Daphnia pulex: one gene and its partner. The protein of the gene in region 1 interacts with the protein of each later gene in a pairwise test. Links are inferred from orthologs where the notes say so. Each region holds a gene or a part of one and is shown on either strand. Other genes may lie near its edges. The genes, in order: protein patched-like and E3 ubiquitin-protein ligase NEDD4-like.

What was found.
Region 2: the proteins of protein patched-like (region 1) and E3 ubiquitin-protein ligase NEDD4-like interact in a two-hybrid assay, tested with the Drosophila melanogaster proteins (2 studies listed by BioGRID). The link is inferred for Daphnia pulex from reciprocal best matches to the Drosophila melanogaster genes ptc and Nedd4.

What each region holds. Positions count from the first base shown.
Region 1 is NC_060018.1:5,078,185-5,088,147, forward strand, and holds the start of protein patched-like, read left to right. Parts: upstream 1-4,335; 5' UTR 4,336-4,934; coding exon 4,935-5,117; intron 5,118-5,631; coding exon 5,632-5,824; intron 5,825-8,888; coding exon 8,889-9,081; intron 9,082-9,963. UniProt on the Drosophila melanogaster protein: Segmentation polarity protein. Acts as a receptor for the hedgehog protein (hh). Associates with the smoothened protein (SMO) to transduce the hedgehog signal leading to the activation of wingless, decapentaplegic and patched itself.
Region 2 is NC_060022.1:1,839,535-1,849,432, forward strand, and holds E3 ubiquitin-protein ligase NEDD4-like, read left to right. Parts: upstream 1-3,297; 5' UTR 3,298-3,560; coding exon 3,561-3,599; intron 3,600-3,748; coding exon 3,749-3,825; intron 3,826-3,887; coding exon 3,888-3,969; intron 3,970-4,032; coding exon 4,033-4,232; intron 4,233-4,321; coding exon 4,322-4,526; intron 4,527-4,599; coding exon 4,600-4,768; intron 4,769-4,835; coding exon 4,836-4,975; intron 4,976-5,342; coding exon 5,343-5,408; intron 5,409-5,497; coding exon 5,498-5,588; intron 5,589-5,652; coding exon 5,653-5,770; intron 5,771-5,857; coding exon 5,858-5,961; intron 5,962-6,027; coding exon 6,028-6,152; intron 6,153-6,233; coding exon 6,234-6,463; intron 6,464-6,522; coding exon 6,523-6,885; intron 6,886-6,947; coding exon 6,948-7,176; intron 7,177-7,252; coding exon 7,253-7,422; intron 7,423-7,506; coding exon 7,507-7,609; 3' UTR 7,610-8,264; downstream 8,265-9,898. Other genes in the region: integral membrane protein DGCR2/IDD-like, read left to right, coding at 1,217-1,423, 1,492-1,723, 1,808-1,901, 1,968-2,128, 2,191-2,397, 2,460-2,683. UniProt on the Drosophila melanogaster protein: Essential E3 ubiquitin-protein ligase which accepts ubiquitin from an E2 ubiquitin-conjugating enzyme in the form of a thioester and then directly transfers the ubiquitin to targeted substrates.

The DNA of each region.
Region 1 (9,963 bases):
CACACAGAGAGAACTATATGGTTGTTGTTGTTGTTGTTCTCCGTGTGGCTTATCGCTCATCTTCCTGGAAGGGTGGAGGAGAAAATTTCAGAACAAAAAATATCCCACGCGATGGTTGTTGTAGAAGATGAAAGTCGGGCTCATCCCGAATAAGGCAATTATGTCGTCTACAAAAGAGATGAACGTATTACAATGGAAAAAAGAACTTTTTTTCCTTTTTCTTTTTGGATGGGAAATGATTTATTTACTCCCGAGAGTCGCGCCAAACGGGCGGACATCCAAAGTTAAGAAAGTTCTTTTTTTCTTCTTCTCCTCCAGTCTGTGCATTGTATCAATGAGCGTGAAAGGGAGAAGACCACCCAAGTTGTGCGTGTGTATATATACCACGGGTGTGTGTGCATGTGTGTGTATATAGAGACATGGATGCCATCAGGCAGGGAGAGACGGGGTTATTTGGGCGACAGAGGCCAAAAGAATTAGGCTCTTCTTTCTAAACTTTTTTTTATTTTTTCTTTCTGAAACAGATAGAGGGTGATGGACACCACCACCACAGGGTGGCTCAGAAGAAGAACCCCCAGAGGAAGAGGGAAATGGAGAGGGTCCTGCTGATGGTAGTAAAAACAAGGTTCATCAACGCATCAAGGTGTCAACTCTGCAACTCGAGAAAGAAGAAGAAGAAGAAGAAGAAACAACAAGACCAAACTCCTCCTTTCCTTTTCGCTTCCCCCCTTAATAACGGCCGAAAAAGAAGATCTTAACTTTTTTGGGGGTCCGTCTTTTTATGTCCAACGCCACCCATCCAGCCAGCAGGGCCCATCAAAAAATAAAGAAAATCCGCACACACACAGTGTCTCTAGGCCCTGGACTGTAAAAGACGACCTTTCCGTCTCTTATTGCCTTTTGGAACGGGGGGGTTAGAAAAACAACATAAAATCTTATATAGTTATTTATATTGAGACATTGCATAGTATAGCTGGTTCTATAAAAGATGGGGACCATTTTCGGCCAGCTCAGGAATTTGTTGGTTAGTTTCTTACGACCGAAAAAATGAATAAGAGTTGGGCGAAAAAATAAAATGCGCACATCCGCCATAGGGTTTACGCAATCACTTTGTAACCGCCTGTGTGTGTATACTACATTCGTTTGATTCTTTTTCCTGCTTACATAACCGACAACTATACACCTTGATGGCACACACACACATCCTGTGTGTGTTGGTGCATTTGATGGTGCATGAGAGGAATGCGCCATCTGACGGTGTTATTCCTCCGTCTGATGGTGTGCGCCTTGATTGTTTCTTTTATCGGATTGAGCTGCTCGCCAACGGATAGAAGAAGAAAACAAGTGCCGTGTGGGGTCGGCCAAAGAAGAAGAAAAAAGAAGATACTGAGAGGTGCGCCCGTGAGTTTTGTTTGTGTGTTTGTCTTGTCCGGGAGGAGACCCCCAACACCCCAAAGAGAATCAGATGCTCCGGAGCCGGAGAGACTTTTTGATAGTGTATCTTCTTTCTTGTTTTCTTTCTTTCTTCTTCTTTCTTTTTTGGGACGACGGTGAAACTATTCGAATAATAGTGTAGACGAAGCTCGAGGAGCCAAAGGAGCGCTGCTGCTGGCTGCCAGGAGCAACAGAAGTCAGAGACCACCCAAGTCGACGAATAACAACAAACCCGACTGGTTCATGGATAGATAAGAAGAAGAAAATAACTCGGGTCGATCAGAGATCGCCGGCCAATAAAGAAACTTGAAGACGGGAAAGAAGAAGAATTTAAAAAAAAACGAAGAACGAAAAAAGAGTTTCGCAAATGTCGACGTGTGTTATGTATAGGGACCGGTGAGACGATTGATGGATGACAAAACTAAATGGCCGATGCCGCGCTCTTTTTCCTTATAAACGGTCGGTCACGATAGATTACGTGGCCTGTTAAGGATTTTATTTTTTTTTTTGGCGCAACAATGACTCGGATTCAACCCCAGTCTAAGCGGACACGCAATAAAAGGGAGTTTAAGGTTTCAAGAAAAATCTCTTCTTATAGTCTCGGACAATGGAACATTCACCCGGGACCCCAAAAAGTTAGACGAGAGGCCCCCTTTTGACTTAATGGATGTTATTAAGGTATATATATAAAGAATGAGAGATTCTCTAAAGGTATGGCTCTCTTCTCTCTATAGATCGGCCCCATTTGTGCGTAAGAAAAGAGCAGAAGATCCGGGGGTAAGAAAATAAAAGAGAAACGATAAATTATTCTCGGCGTCGGCATCGTTCGAGCGGCGGCGGCGATCTGAGGCAATGAGATCTATTGTGTGTACAGTTTCAAGGGAAAAGAAAAGAATCTTGAAGAAGAAAAAGGTTTTTTTTTTCTTCTTCTTCTTCTTCAACCCTCCCGCCATACAACATTTACCTGTGTAAAGATTCCCCCCTCTCCCAACTCTTCTTCTTCAACCAACCTGTCAGACTCCATATCTCCATCGACCATCTTATCTTATTTATTTCCTTTTTTTCTTCCTATTTTACAAGGGGGGACTCTTCTTTCCGAAATAATAATAAAAATAAAACACAAGCCATGAATCGTGTAGTGGTGGGTTCACATTTTTTCCAGTTCAATTCTTTCTACTCTACGAAAATTGAGAGCGTAATGCAACGCTGGAAAACAAAAGAAGAACGAACAATTTTCCAGGGGGTTTTGTGTTCTTCAATCAGTCAAGCGATCGATTGGATTTTTATACTCGAGTAAAATAAAAAAGGAGAGAATTTTATTATAGAGTTTGATGAAATAAAAACAATCTAAGATGGCCGACAGCTTTTTTCTTTTGGTACAAGAGAGAGAAAAACCTTTCCCAATAGAAAAGAGTGATGGTGTACATGGAAAGAGAGAGAGAGAGAGGACCACCCAACATGAAAACGACTCGGAGACTTCACAAAACCACACAGACGCACTTCTTTTAAAAAAAGAACTCTCCCGTAAGTAAAAGAAGTTGTCTTTTTTCTTTCTTTCTTCTTTCTCTTATGGCAGCCATTGCCAATTCTTTTTTTTTTTTGTTCCCCGACATTTTCTTTTTTGTACACACACGGTTCTGTTCTGTGTGTTTGATTGTTGACAAATCTCGAGTAGACACACAGTGTATGTGTGTATATAACTCTCGAGTGAGAAAGAGAGTTGTGCTGTGTGCAACAAGTAAAAAAAAAGAAAAAAACATGGTCAAAGTTCGTTGGCAATTAAAGTTTTGGCCTGGGCCGTAATTGCCCAGGCACATCCGCCACCAGATTACACTAACAGCGCCACTCTCTTTTTTCTTTCTTTTCTTCCACACCATCTTTTCTTTTTTAAAATAAAAAACTCTTCTTTCTTTCTTTCTTTTTTACCTGTGTGACTATAACCGTAAAAGAACGCGGGCACGAGAAACTGACAAGAGAATAGAGTCATTAAAATAATGACTTCTTTTCTCAGGGATGCAGTGCAGCACACAAGTTGGGCTGTGCAGACGAAAAACATTGGAAAACGGTTGGTTCGTTGGTTCGTCGTGATCGAAATAAATCTCCACCAACATTTGACTTTTTCTCTAAAGAAATGATGTGTGTGTGTGTGTGTGGTAGAAATTTTTTCGTCTACGTGAGCAAAGTTGTTGGAATTAAAAAGAGGAAGTTGTGCATGTGTGTGTGTATATATACAAGAAGAAGAAGAAGAAAAAAAGGTTTTTGGGGTTCTTGGCCGTCGTGTGGGGTCCAGGGCTTTTGTGTATTGCCCGTGGGTTTGGTGTTCTGCGTGTTGCCCAGGCAACGGCTAAGACCACCCCCACAAGTCCGAACTACAGTGTGTACGCTATACACACTCGCGCCCCCTTTCACTGGGAAAATGTTTTGTCTCTTTTAGATGGTGGATGGAACTTTTTAAAAAAGAAATAGAAAAACGAAGGTCCAATGAATGGAATCCGAGTCGGATCCGCTGCTGCTGCCATTTTTCAAAGTCTTGGGTTTCAAATTTCCCCACTTGGAGAACTCTGTCCCGAATATTCAATTACACATTGAACGATTGCTGAGCCGATTAGACCAAAAGTCATTCCTCCGTTTATAACTATTAATCGCATCTTTTCCAACATTTCAAAACGAAATTTTCCTTTTTAAAAAAAATATACTTGAAAAAGAAGAAAATGGCGCGCTGTAGTTTGTCGATCCGCCACGTGGTGGTTGACGCGGTGGGCGGGCGACCCGAAAAATTTCCTTAGCCTGCGGGTATCCCCAGCCAAACTCGAAAAAGAAGGAGGGACACTGGGTGGTGGTAGCGGGGGGGGGGGGGAGGAGGTCTAGCGGGGCGTGCGTGTACTAAGCTAGCGGCCATCTCTCCTCGAGTTTTCAGTCGACAAGCAGGAAGCTACAAGAAGAGTCGTGTGTCTCTTTCTCTGAAACACACACACACAAACCGAGTGTGAAATATCTATATTTTTTTCTTCCAAAGTGTGTGTGAATTTGAAGAAATTTAGTGTGTGAACGAAACAAGAATTTTCAAGTCCCCAACCAAAAGAAACTCGAAAGAACGACGACATTTTCTGGTTTCTATCACCAACACGGATTAACCAAAAAGACGACGACGACGGATGGTGTTCGTCCCCTAACAATTTCTTCCACAGTGTGTTGTTGTGCCGTTAGAATCAGCCATTTCTTTTCTATTTTCCTCCCCCTAGAAATTTGTTCGGTGTGTCACGAAATTTCGCCCCATGGTTGTGTGTTGTTTAGCCCGTCATGAAACGAGGCCATGTTAGGCTGCTGGTCGGTTGCGACCGCTGCTGGTGATCATCATCGTCAAAGTTGTTGTTGTTGTTGTTGTTGTTCAGTGCCGCAGCCGCCGAGTGTGTTTCCGTTGAAATCGCCCGACGTGTCGGGAGACGAGGAATTGCTTGCAGACGAAAACGAATCATCACGAACGGCGCTGTAGTAGTGTCATGGCCATAACGATGCACTCGCACGCCGCAATGGAGAAATCGAATGGCGGATGCTCGAAAACTTCTTCACTGACACCTCAAGACGCTTACGCGGCACTCTGCACCAGCAGCAGCGTCGATTCCGACTTGTTGACCAGGACGAGCTGGACAGATGCCCGGCTCGCCCTTCATCAAATCAAAAAGGTGCGTCTTTATAAAACATCTTCTTCTTCTTCTTGTGAATAAACAATTGCATAAGATAATTTATGCTGCGTGTAAGTACGAAAAAAACACAGAGAAAAAGTCTGTGGTGGCTATGCCAAGGTGAGGTGTATATTTTCGGGTGGATGGTATAGACCGTCGGTATATAGGGGGCTCTGGCATCGCCCGACGGAATGAAGACATCAACAACAACGGGGGCCCCTGCTGCAACAACCGACTGTGTACTACCAACCAAGAGAGAGAAAGAGAAACAGTTGAGGCCAAGCCATCGCTCAAGGGCGTAGGCCCCAACACAAAAACCCATCAGCCACTCTCTTTCCTTTACCTCTCCTTTTTTAACTTGTTTTTCCTCCTTTCCACAACCATTCGCTGCTGCCCAACTGATTCAAGGGGGCTGCGCTGGAAGGATATAAAAACATTCCGGAATCTCATAGATTTTTATTTTTGTTCGTTTCTGACGTCTCTATTTTCTTTTATTTATTTATTTTTCCAATAGGGTAAAGCATCAGGCAACAAAGCGGCGCTGTGGTTAAGGACGAAACTTCAGTGGCATCTCTTCCACCTGGGCCGATTCGTCCAACGGCACGCGGGCAAAGTCCTTTTCGTTGGACTCCTCGTCCTGTCCACCTTCTGCGTCGGCCTCAAATCCGCCAGCATTCAAACGGACGTCGAGAAACTCTGGGTCGAAGGTAATACAACACTTTTGATCCCTTCAAAATAGGATCTCCCCCTCCTCATCCATTGATGCGTTGTTGGGCTCTCCATCCGCTTCTTCTTTTTCTCCGGCATTGCCAACACATACACAGAGAGAGAGACCGGAAAAAGAACTTGGCTGGAACACCCGAAAATAGACGGCCCTTGTTTGAGAGAGAGAGAGGGTGTTTTATGTTCCCCTTTGCCCCAAATCCGCCCGCATCGGATGATTCTCTTTCACGATTGGTGGCCATTACCAGGTCCGCTATTTACTATAGAACCCCTCTTCTTCTTCTTCTTTTTGTTATTTCTCCTCTGGAATGTTTAGCACCTACCCAACAATCAACAGCAAGACGAGGTCTCTATCCATTCTAGATGGCCAGGGGAGAGAACATGTCTTCATTAGGGCGGCAGCCTCCAGCTGGATTTGATTCCCCTGGACCGTATCTTTAATGAACTCTCTGCAGGTCGCGGTATTTCCCCCCCCCCCTTCTCACAAGAGAATCGTGTTATTTGCCAAGCCAAACCTGCACACATGTTCACATGGGAAATTTTTCATCCTTCTGTCAAAAAAAAAAAAAAAGGAAAATGTAGTTGTTGTTCGGGGGGTTCCATATGGTCCTGTCGTTTCCCCCCTCTCCGAAATCAGACACCCCCCTTCCACCCCTTGAAGAAGAAAAGTTATTTTCCAAAGTAAAAATTAAAAAACAGCTGCTAGGTTCTTTTGGCGGCCTTTTGTGAAGAACATACCTGATCACGCAGGTTTTTTCTTCTTCTCTTATTTTTGGCTGATGATGACGTACGGCCAAATTGTCACCCGAGGAAGAAAAAAAGAAACAACATTGGAGAGAGAGAAGTTATAAAATTCTTGTTTGGACCACCCAACGGAAGGGAACGAAGGTACAGCACACCCAAAGTTGGGCACAAGAGGAAGAAAAGACAGCGGGGTGGAGAGAGAATTTACGAGCTAGAAAAGAATGTTTTTTTTTTTTTTTTTACTTCTTCTTCTCTTTCTTTTCCTTCCCCCCTTTCTTCTTTGGTCCATTGTATCCAGCCAGCGTACCTGAAAACTTTTCTTCTTCTTTTCATTTGTGCGTGTGTGTTACTCTTGTAGAGCGAGAAGAGAGGCTATCGGTCGTCCCTTTTCTCAATTGACCCGTCAAACTCGTTACAATAGGAAAAGATTTTTTCTCTCTCTCCTATTCTTTTCCTTATTCTTTTCTGACCTCCATCTTCTTTTTTTCTCTCTATTATTCCATCACTTCCGACGATTGCGTCTCCCCATTTGAATTTTGGAAATCCAGCGATCAGGGGGTGGTGCGCATAATAGGCACTTTATAGTGCCCAGTACAGTAGAGAGAGTAGAGATATCGTCGACACACAATACGTTTAGATCAGTTTTTTTAAAAAGGAATGCCGTCTTCTTGTTCTTCTTCCTACCCAAAACATCAAGGTCAGCCCTGCTTCTGGGTTCTTCGACAAGACAAGAGAGACCGGCTGGTAGTAGTTTCCCTCACACACACACACACATAGAACCCTCTTTCGGTCGTTTTTTCTTTCCTTCTTCTTTGGCTGGTAAGAAAAATACAGTTTTTTTTTTCAGTTCGTTTCTTAGTCTCTCTCTCTCTCTCTTCTGCTTTCATCCGAGTTTTCTTCTTTGCGTTTACTTTGCTCGCGGGGAAGACTCATGCGGATGCTATATACTCTCTCTCTATTCCTTTTTTATTCTTCTTCATTCTTTTTTCCTTTTCTCTTCGGGGCCGGTTGAGCGCGTTCGGCCACCCAGTGAGACACGCAACACATGCACTGCACGTCGCCCCCTCTACACACACACACAACGGGAAGAGAAAAAAGAAGTTTTTTTTTTTTTTTGTTATTTTGGTCGGGTTGGCCATTGATGGCAGAGAGAATCGAAATGGAATAGAGTAAAGAGAGATAGATATATATGTGTGTGTGTACGTGTTGGCTGGTGGATTGTGAATCCATCACGTCACTCTGGAAAATCAGTTGGATCTGATTTTCTCCCCAAAAGAAACAAAACTTCTTTTTGTCTCTCGAGCGTTCCGTTTTGGTGTTTCGGTCATTTTCGGTCGGTCGGTTGTTTTGGATAGCCAAGACAGCCGAGAATGGAATTTGCATTGGAGAAGCCTTAAAGGTCCCTAAGGGTCCAGCAATCGGCCACCCATAGCGAGAGAGAGAGAGTCCCAACTCTGAAGGCTGCTGTTTTATAAGCGTATCGTTTTAATTGACTTGTTGGCCGTGATGTCTTCACTCGACGAGTCAAAGAGAAGCAATAGAAGGAGAGAATGTCTATGTATTTATTCAAAAACCGGTCCTAGAGCTATGGCCCATACGATTTCGGCCAAAAAAGAAAATACAGCCCCGTCTTTTTCTTCTTTCTTTTCGCCTGGCAATCGGTAAAAGCGTAAACGTTAGATTGGCTAGACAAACTCGGGTGTTTAAAATATGAGCAACCTCTCTTTTTGAAAAAAAGAAAAAGAAAAAAAAAAAAACATTATTTACAGGAAGCTCATTAAAAACGGCGCCGCAGAGCCGTTCGGGAAAAGAGGTTGTTCAACTTGACCACTTGAACACTCTGAATTCTTCTTTATTTTTTCTTCTTCTTCTTTTTGGACTGAAAGAAAACATTCTGGGTGGGACGCGAGAGAAAATCCCGCGTGATTCCGATGAAAAAAAAAAAACTCCGAGCCAAGGGAAAAAGAAGAAGACAAACTTTGAGGTGGGCAATTGCGTATTCGGTCGGCGTTTCTCCTGAAACATTGTGAGATGTTGTTGTTGTTGTCTATACGCTGGAGAAATGCCTGCGAGTCTCTCTCTTAACCTGTGATTATCTCGAGGGGCTTTTCAAGAGTGGAGGTATATCGTTAAGAGAGTCGAGGGCTTAATGGCGGCCGAGTTGATGGCTCTATCGGTCGGTTGGTCGGTCGGTCGGTCGGGAGAAGATGAAGAAGAAAGAGGAGGGTTTTGTGTGTGCCCTTGAACTAATGGAGTTATTTTATTTTATTCTTTTTCTCTGAAAAATGTGTTGATCCTGCACAGAGGGTGGCCGTTTGGAGAAGGAGTTGGCCTACATGAGACGGACGCTGGGCGAAGGAGCCGGCTCGACCCATCAGATCCTCATCCAGACGCCGAGTAACGGCCAAGGCGGCTCCTTACTCAGCCGCGACGCGCTGCTGGCCCACCTGCGGGCCGTCCAAGCCGCCACCAAAGTCACCGTCGAAATGTTCGATACGTAAGTGTTTCTTTCTTTCTTCTTTTTCTGGCCAGCGCCGCCATCTTCCTTTTTTTGTTGTTAATTTTGTGTATAGACATAAATGCGCCTGTGTGTGTGTGTGTATATATTTATGTACATACACACACACACACACACAACACTTGGTGGAAGAATTTGGAAGAGAGAGAGTTTCTCTCTTTTTCTTTTTTTTTTTTTCATTTTTGTTTGATTTTTCTAATCTGGGGGCCCCATCGGCCGTCGCCTGGGTGGCCTCTCTCCGGCGCCGACTGAATGAGTTTCCAGTCTACTTTTGGCTCGCAAACAAAACACAATAACCGGTTCTTTTTGAAGTATTTTGTTGTTGTTGTTTCTTTCTTTTTTTCCTTCCATCCATCCATCGTCTTCTTTTTCTATTGAAGAAAAAGAAAAAAAGGAAAAAATTTCTATGTGTAGACTTGTGAATATTTGAGCCCCATCATCGATTTAACCCGACGAAGATGAAGATATCTGGCTGCCCTCCAAAACGATGAAGACGGCCCGCCGCGCTGTAATAAAGTCGGGCCCCGACTTTTTCAAAAAAGAAAAAAGACACTGAAACAGAGATGGAGGGTTGGGGGAATAGATGATGAAAATGAGCACAAAAAGAAAATGAAGAAGTTGAAAAAAAAAGAAAAATTCTCTTTTAAAAAAGAAAAAAAAAAGAAAAACTTAAAGACACCGGCGGGTTCCGCGTTCAAGTCTGGATCTCTTCTTCTTTTTTGTTGTTGTTTCTTTGGTCGAGAGTCAAAAAGAGAAAAAACCGTTTGGGTGGTCGACGTCGAGACCCTCCACATGACGACACGCACACAGCTCGGTTCTTTTTTGTTTCTCTCCTTCTCGCCCAGTTTTTTGTTGTTGGAC
Region 2 (9,898 bases), on another chromosome or scaffold:
GCGGAGATTTGAAGAGCGTCAAATGTTGTGTAGTTAACGTTATTATACTATATCCGTTTCCAATAAACTTCGTATAGCTAGAGATAAAGGGTTAATCCTTTGTATTTATTTTAATTTGTTTACATTTTAAGGCGTGAAGAAATACGAGTCTCCAAATACAATACTCCCACTGGTCACTGAAAAGGGATAAGGTTTCCATACAGATCGGCTTCCTTTAAAGGTTGCGTGGTGGAGAATAAATATATGTAGACTCTGCTGAAAATGGTCTGTTTACATCTGCTGCATGGCCATAAAATTTTGCCAAGCTCTGCACGCACCTCAACGGCTCCGACCTAAATAGATTCACGGAAACCAAGTTTCAGTTTGAATAAAGAAGTGCTGTGTAAGCTACCCAACCTATATCCTTCAAATACCAACAGCTATGCGTCATAAAACGAAACAGAATTTAAGATGCCTACAAAAACAAACAAATCTAGTAGAAAATTACTTTGTTTTGAGCACTATAATTAATTAGAACCGAGAACATCGATCCGCTCAACTACCGGACGTAGTAAATTTGGAGTATAAGACAAAGAAGATTTTTTCCTTAGTACTTGAATAGCATTTTTTCTGGATAGGTTTGAATTAATACATCTGTAAAAACTTGTTTATTGCCTTTGGCATTCCATCTTCATACCAAAAAAAGGGTTTTGATGACTTTAACTCAGAAAGAAAAGGCATTCCCTCCTCAAACCCACGACTTCCTGCTGTACTCCATCTAGCATCTGTTGTGCTGGTTTCGACGTTAGGTGGCGCGTCAGTCGATTGTTTTTAGTACTACATTTTTCTGTAAAGAGTGTCATTTTTGAGCTGAACGCGTACTCGTGTGTTTATCAGGAATATACCTCCATGATAAAGTGTTGATAGCAAAGTGTTATTTATCACTGCCTAAAATAAGTTTTCAGTTTTTTTCGCGCAGCTTTTTGTAGAACAAGATAGGGTGGTTTTATACTCTATATGGCTTGTTACTATCTCTTGTCTTTTCAAAGTCAAGTTCTCGAGGCGACCTGGTATTTGAAAACCTGGATAAATTGACATAACAGGAACATTTTTCCGCTCCCATTCCTTTCGTGACTTGGCGTGACGTGACTGCCAGGTAAACAACGCAGCCAATTAATTCATAGGGGAAAGTCGTGTAAAGTGGTTCTAATCAATATTCACACACAACTATTTTAGAATGCCTGGTGAAAGGTTCCTTGTTGCCACCCCTGATAGTTCCCAAGAAGATGAAATCGGTGTTTTTGGAGAGAGCTGCCAAGATATTAATGGAAGGACCATCACTGGTGGGAATCACTATGTTCCAGGCCCAGATTCCTGTACAGTCTGTCTTTGTGATGGAGGAAAGCCAAAATGGTGCCAAGCGGTCTTGTGTGCTGCTCCCAAGGTACATTATAACAACAAAAGATTTTTAAAAGTCAAGCAAATGTTAATTTTGATCAAATTCATTCACAGGATTGCAAATCCTTCAGAATTGGAAGTTCTTGCTGTGAATTCATTTGCTTGGACAACACTGAAGGAGGGAATGATGAAGGTTCCATCGATGTTACGTGGGGTGATGAGAACTGGGTTGGGGGGGATTTGGGTTTACGTTTAATAGCAACAGCAGTCACTGCTGTACTCTCACTGGCTCTTTTAGCCTTCCTCTTTTATCGGTTAAAGAGACGTCGTGTGCGGAATCATTCAGGTAATGCTGAATCAATATGCATTTATATCAATGTTATTGAATATCTCTTACTACAATTTTATTCTTTTACATTTTATTCAACAGCTTGTCATGAATTGGAAGGAGATACAATTCCCTCAAGTAGTATAGCGAGTTTTGATCATGGAGATCTGACGAGTAGTACTGGACATCTCAGCAGGTAGCGTAAAGTTACATTATCGGAGTAATCAATTTCGGCTAATGATGTTGTATGTTATGTGCACAGACAACCTCAACCCTTAATGAATCTTGGAGAAAATCAATCTTCAATTTACATGATGTGGAAGCTACCTAATTCGTCCGTCACGGATAACCCACCGCCCTATTCTGAAAATCCATCCAATCGTCTAGTTATCGAAGAAAGTGAAAACAGCCGCGAAACCACAAGTAAAAACAGAAGTTTTTATTTCGTATTTCAACAAATTTAATGCATTATATTTATGTTGCAGGTCTTTTAGTTGTTCCATCCGCTCCGTCGAATGATTTAGTCGAAACACCTATGAGTCACACGTTGATGTTACGACGGAGCAACGATACTTTGGATTCTAGCGATTTTTTGGACGCGGGAACACCTCCTCCTAGTTACGCAGAAGTTCTTGCTTGTATTTCAACTCCAGCTATGAATGAGATAGAAGGAGGGGCCTCCTCAGTCAGGGGTAATGTTAGTTGAGAAATGTTTAATTTACACAGCTGTTGAATTGGAATGCTTTGTTTATAGAAGACGACGACGAACTTCCTTCTGCTCAATGGAGGAATAGTTTGAACTTGCCGAGAGAACGTTCTCCAGCCGAAGTTGCCATTCAACGTTTCAGCCTACAACTTGCCCTCGATTGCTCAGACACAAGCAGCTGCACGAGCAGTTCAAGTCACGCCCAACCTGGGACTTTGAGCACTTCCTCCTCTTCTTCTGCCGCGTCGATTGCCCATCTGGGCTCCAATTGATTATGTGTACTTATTCTTTAGCAGAATCAAGTATCTACCTAAAGCAGAATCTAGTAGAAGAAATCAGCTACTTCAGTCTAGAAGATCTCGTTTGACTGTTCGATGTATTGATTCTGCTCTCGTTGTGTTGTCACCTTTTACTCGCTTTTCTCTTTTTTACGCGACTATGTGGGGCTTCTCCATGTATTTTCATTTCAAAAAGCCTTCACATAGTTAATTCGTTGTCATCTAGGTTATTTTTGAAAACCTTTGACAAATTTCCTCCATGATGTGTTTTTCGACGGTATTTTCCCCCAATCATTTTGAATTGTATTCATTACAACGTTTCTATTATGTAAAATTATGTGCTTAGACAAAAGGCTTCGAAAATCACAGTCATCTATTGATGGGCACATACGTCATTAATATTATAATCCACATATAGGCAGTCCTGTCGCGGTGACGGTAGGTTGCTTTGAATGTGTTTATTGTAGGGCAGATTTCTCTATATAATCACGCCCCTCATTTCAATTTTTTGTAAACGGTAACGTATTATCTACAGCCGACCACTTTCGAACAAAGAAATAAATTGAGTTCAAGCATGTGCGATGTTTCGTTTTTTTCAAGAGCGCATTTAGTAGAGAGCATTGTCACAAACTCACATCGATGGGTCACGTGACTGACGAAATTCTCCATCAGCTGATATTCATCAGTTCTCGAGTCGACTTTCGTTGCCTACAACTATACAAGTTGTCTGCTCTCTGGTTGTGTTGTACGCTGGGGCTGGGGCGTGAAAAACTTCATTTTCAATTAGTTTGTTCAATTTTAAACCTTGAAAATCTGCAGAGTCAATACTCATTTTTTATCGCATCAAGTCAAGGAAAATTCAAAAGTTTGCATGGCCGAAAGTCGTGTCTATGGGCTCAATAACGCAATGGTACGTACTACGTGTCTAAATACCGAAATATGAAACCTTAAACCCGGACAAATCTGGTCAAAATCAGATTTTGTTTACTTTTTTTTGTTTGAAAGGAAGGCAAATTTCTGTTTGTAAGTCTGTACATGATTTGATATTTATTCTTTTAGCCTGAGCTTACAAGTTTACTTCGTTTACGTGTGATTGCTGGGCATAACCTTTGCAAGAAAGACATATTTGGAGCAAGGTAATAACAAAGTGTGGTGTTTGTTGTATTACTCATGTCCTCACTTTTCTTCCTAAATTTAGTGATCCTTATGTGAGAATTGATTTGGTGGCAAATAATGGAGAACAAGTGATTGATTCAGTGTTGACACGAACCAAGAAAAGGGTATGTTGCAACATCACAGTGCTGCCAGTAGTTTGTTTCTAACTTTAATCATTTACTTCACAGACCTTAAATCCAAAATGGGATGAAGAATTCATATTCCGGGTCAAACCTTCAGAACATAAGCTAGTGATGGAAGTGTTTGATGAAAATCGCTTGACCCGAGATGACTTTCTGGGAATGGTAGAACTTCCTTTGGTTGGACTTCCAAAGGAACTACCAGATACAAGTATACCCAGGAAATATTACATTCTTCGGCCACGAAGGTACATGCTATTTTATGCTAATAGATTGCAATTGCTGTTTCTTATTTTTGCTTTCATGCTTAATGTTTATGTCCTTTATCTTAAAACAGTGCGCGTTCCAAGGTCAAAGGACATCTGCAACTATATCATGCATACATCCCTGATCCAAATGAAGTTTCGGAGATTACAGTAGCCAATGATTCTGTCGCTGCAACCGAGCCTCAAACTCAGGATCCCGAACCTGGTTGGGAAATGGTTGATACGACAGATGGTGTTAATAGTGCTGGACAGGCACAAGTAGAACAGCCAGCTAGAGTAAATCTGATTAAAATAGTTAAAATATTTACATTTATATTCTCGCATACTAATATACTGATTTTTATTCCAGCCCGTTTACGTTCAGGGAAGTTCTTCCGCTCCAGACGTCGCCAATGCAACGGCCCAGTCTGTCCCTTTGCCTTCTGGTTGGGAGGAACGTCAAGATGCTAACGGTCGAACCTATTACGTTAATCATATTGCTCGCACCACCCAGTGGGAGAGACCGTCCATCCAGCCAGGTAAATGAGCAGTCTGGAAGGCTTGTTATTTTATGAGTATTATCACGAATTTTCCTTTCCGTTAAAGCTGTGATTCAGGAACAGCAGTTGGCACGTGAACGTAACCTTGAAACTGCTGGATCGGATATGCAACGACGCTATCACATATCGGACGATGCCCATCCGCTTCAAGCTGGACTAGATGCAGCCGCTGGTATTGCTGATCAGGTAGAGTTGATCTCGTTTTTATTGGGTCTCCCGGTTATGTTTATATCTACTCACGAATTTTGCCACTTTCTTCTGCATGCTGTTTCGGGAAAATCGATATTATTTGAGGAGGATGAATATGACGATGAAGAACTTGATGATTATTATGATGACGGGGACGAATTTGATGATGAATACGATGATTATTGGGATGATACTGCAGAGGGCGATGAACAGGTTTGATTAGCCTGCCTCTGCGCGTTGTTACAGTTGTAAGAAAAGCTAGAAATATTCGATGTAGAATATCGAGCTAGTAGACTATGCTAAACTTACAGTCAGCTTAACCGAATTTGTGCTTACCTCCTCTTGTTTTATTCGAAATTTGTAGTTAAGAGATGTACAAATTAATGGCAGTCCAAGACCTAGTCCAGCGTCACCTCGTCACTCCGTAACGGTAATTAGAATAAAACCTGATTTCCTTTTTCGATGCTGACCTTCCTCATGGCGTGATTTTTAACCCATATCTTTACCCTCAAATTTTAGTCTATTGACGGCGGAGAACAGGTTGCAAATAGTACGTCTCCAACCCCACCAAGACCTGTAGTTGTTCCTAGCAGTGAAGGACTACCACAAGGTACGTGAATCATTCATTTCCTCGTACGTGTACAGCTGCAAACTTCTCGTTTGGAAACATCTAGGTTGGACAGTGCAAGTTGCTCCAAATGGACGTCTATTTTTTATCGATCATAACAAGCGGGCTACAACTTGGGTGGACCCAAGATCAGGGAGACCATCGACACTTCCGCGGCAGAGCCAGTTCGTATTCTTTTTGTTGGGCTTCTCAAACAAAAACAAAGCCAAAAATGAAGGTCATTTCAATAATTCTATTATCTGTTTGTTCAGGAGCCCTGGAAACAAAAACTTCCAAGATGAAGCGCTGGGACCTCTTCCGGAAGGATGGGAAGAAAGAATCCATAATGATGGCAGAATCTTCTACATTGATCATAGTAAGTTGGCATTTTCCGTCAGGTGGTACTCGTACAGCTGACGCTTAATGCATTCTTGACATGCAGATACACGAATTACCCAATGGGAAGACCCCCGTATGTCGAACCCTAATATTGCTGGACCGGCTGTTCCTTACTCACGTGACTATAAAAGGAAGTACGACTTCTTCAAGTCGCAACTTAAGAAACCAGTAATATATTAAATGCCTACAATCTATTGTTGATTGCGTTCTTAGGTTTAATTGTTTTTTTGTTTTTTCCGCTTGTTACAGGCCAACATTCCAAACAAGTTTGAAATTAAAGTTCATCGAGCCTCTATACTGGAAGATTCGTATCGAATTATCAACACTGTCGCCCGACCGGAGCTGCTCAAGACGAAACTTTGGGTAGAATTTGACGGTGAAGTCGGACTCGATTACGGCGGTGTTGCTCGTGAATGGTTCTTTCTTCTCTCTAAAGAAATGTTCAACCCATACTACGGCCTGTTTGAATATTCTGCTATGTAAGTCTCCAATTTAAATTGCTTGCAACTTCAACTTATTCATTTACTTTTGCCTACAGGGACAATTACACGCTGCAAATCAACCCAATGTCTGGATTGTGTACCGAAGACCATCTGTCTTATTTCAAATTCATCGGTCGAGTTGCTGGCATGGCAGTTTATCACGGCAAATTGCTTGACGGCTTTTTCATTCGCCCATTTTATAAAATGATGTTGGAAAAGCCCATCGAACTGAAAGATATGGAGTCTGTCGATACTGAGTACTTCAACTCTCTTGTTTGGATCAAAGAGAACGATCCAAGCGAGTTGGATTTAAATTTTGCTGTCGACGAAGAAAGCTTTGGCAAAACAATCCAGCGCGAGCTGAAGCCTAACGGGACCAACATTCCTGTCACCAATGACAATAAACATGAATACATCAAGTAAGTTTATTTAAGTTAAATTATTTGTTCCAGCGATGATCTACCAATGTTTTGCTCTCTAGTTTGGTGATCCAATGGAGGTTCGTGTCCCGCGTTGAAGCTCAGATGCGTGCCTTCCTCGACGGTTTCAAGGACTTGATTCCTTTGTCGATGCTCAAGATCTTCGATGAAAATGAGCTCGAATTATTGATGTGTGGTATTGGTACCATTGATGTCAAAGATTGGAGAGAACACACCAATTACAAGGGGGATTACAATGCCAACCACATGGTAGTGCAATGGTTTTGGAGGGTAAGTCTCGTCTTTTCTTGAAGTTGTTTTATCGACATCGTCGAAACCTCAATTCGAATATTTCTCCTTTTTTTAGGTGGTTTTATCGTTCAATCCCGAAATGCGTTCTCGAGTCTTGCAGTTTGTTACGGGGACATCACGTGTTCCCATGAATGGATTCAAAGAGCTGTACGGCAGCAATGGCCCACAGCCGTTTACCATCGAGAAATGGGGCACGCCAAATAACTTCCCCCGTGCTCACACTTGGTAAGTTGCATTTTTCATTCCTTTGCGAAACGAAAGACCGTGCAAGATTTTTGACGATGGATTCTGTTTTCCTGTTGTCAATAGTTTCAATCGTTTGGACTTGCCACCTTACGAGAGTTACCAACAGCTAAGAGATAAACTGATCAAAGCCATCGAAGGATCTGAGGGCTTCGCCGGCGTAGATTAAACGTGCCGATAATCTTTAAAAAAAAAAGATTTCTTGTTTGCGTGTGTTTTTCCTGTAGAGATTTCTCTTCTTTCTTATCATTCTTATTCTCTTTCCCTACCACTGTAAGTTGTGTAAGATCATTCATTCCACCAACGGTGCGTGTCGTATAATCGATTTCTGTCTTATGCCTCGAAAACGATCCTCTTTGTTCACGATGCCTATGGAGACGCCGTGTACTCTCTTTATTTACCTTCCCTTTTTCTCCCCTTCCTTGGGTAGTGTACAGTTGGTATATTTCTCTCTATCTTTCTCTTTAACTCTTACTTTTAAACTATGGAAAACATTTGTTACTCCGACATGGCCTGGATCATTTGTCATGAACAGGGTGCTGATGGAGTTTGATTTCGGGGGGTTCGACTTTTGCCATTTCTTGCATCACTTGAGGAAAGTGTAGATGAAGGTGGAAGCAATTTCATTGCGTTTTTCTACTTCCCATTCGACCCATATTCGGTAAAATCGTTGCAATATTATTAACCAACACCATAACATCATCTATTCTTTTCCCCGTCGCGTCGATTTAATCCCGACAATTGCCTGCGTGTTTTGTGTTACAATTTTTTCTCGTTTGTCGCGACTATTCTACACAGTGTGATACATATTATTATACAGTCTATACCCTCTTCTTTAATTATTAATTTTTTTTTCTTTTTTTTTAAAATAACTTCTTTCCCGGTCAACGAAAAAAAAATTATTTGTCTCTTTAAATCCAACGATTTTTTTTTTTTTTTGCCCAAAAAAAAGTTTTACCATTTATTTTTTTGCAGCAATAACATCCCTTTCCTCCTTTGTGTGTCAGTGAAAACAAAAACCTTCCCAAATTCAATACATGAGAGCTATTTACTCAATACGTAATGGCACTCGCTCCATTTTCTTTCGACTCCTCCCAAATTTGTTGATTAAAAAAAGTGCTTTGATGTAGAACTAGATAATTACCGGAACGGGTGTTGGATTCGACATCATAAAATGTTTTTTTGCCCGTTTATAAAATGCATATGGTGTAAAACCATATGGTGGCGGATTGCATTACTGTCCGTGCATAAACGACGAGTTGTGGATTTTTTTTTTCTCTTTTTTTAAAAACTGTTTAAACGTTTTTAATTTCGCTGATTCATTCAAACCCAGCAATGCGGAATAATAGCCACCATGATCGTGATGAATAATCAAATGTCTGTTGTTCCTTCATTTTGTGGCTCTTTGCACCATGTGTTCTATTATGAATTGCAGGTAAATTGTTTTAGAGTGCATAATGACTTAAAGTTCCTACAAAATAATAATTTTATTTTTATTCAGATTTAGGAAATCGTCTGATGTACCAACAATTATAGTCGATCTATTCGTAATCAGTCTCTCCAGGATATGACGATTAAGAAGGGCAATGTTCAAATTTACAGCAAAGGTACGTGACTCGGCGATAAGCGATTTGATCTCTTAGCTAATTGCTGGCTCAATTATATTTCATTCAGATTCTCATTAATCTACTAAGTCTGCTAGATGTACACTGTCTTCCTTTTGACAGATGTTTTACTTTGCCTTCGGGGATAAATGCGTACATTTGAGGTGTTTCCATTCCGAGCCATTTGTGGGTCATTGAGAAGGTCCGTGCAAAAACATTTTCTTTCAAACTTTATTTTTTTTTAAATCATGCTTATTATTTACAGTCAATGAAATCTGTATTGTATACTACACGGAATTTCGTGTGCACAAATGGAATGTATTGAGTCGGAACGCATTTTGGCAGTAGCCAATGAGAACTGCGACCGCAATAATACCGGAAACCAAGCCGGATCGTTCCCGTCGTGTCCGACTTAACACGGTTTTCGCAGTCTGTTTCACTCAATCAAAAAGAACTCACACTACCCATCGTCTCGAATAGTTTTTGATCACGCCCCCAATAATTATAGTTATATAACTTGAATTGGAAAACCATGTTGGATTTCACACGATTACTCCACACAACAAGAAGAGGAGGCAGATAGAAACAAACTGGAGATTGTAATATTCTTCTCCAATTTGGGGGGGGGGGGATGCTGTAATTTATATTTTTCGACGAAATTGTCGGGCAGCCAACGATAAGGTCATCGGTGATACGGGCCAAAATGAGGAATTTCGTTTTGCTCCCAAGGCAAGGTAACCAAGTAATTAATTTTGTTTCTCTATAAATAATTTCAAAAAGGGTGTGTTTCGAATAGGAAAACAACTTGTCCATCAATGGACACAAACTGATTAAGCATGCTGAATGGCGTGCAG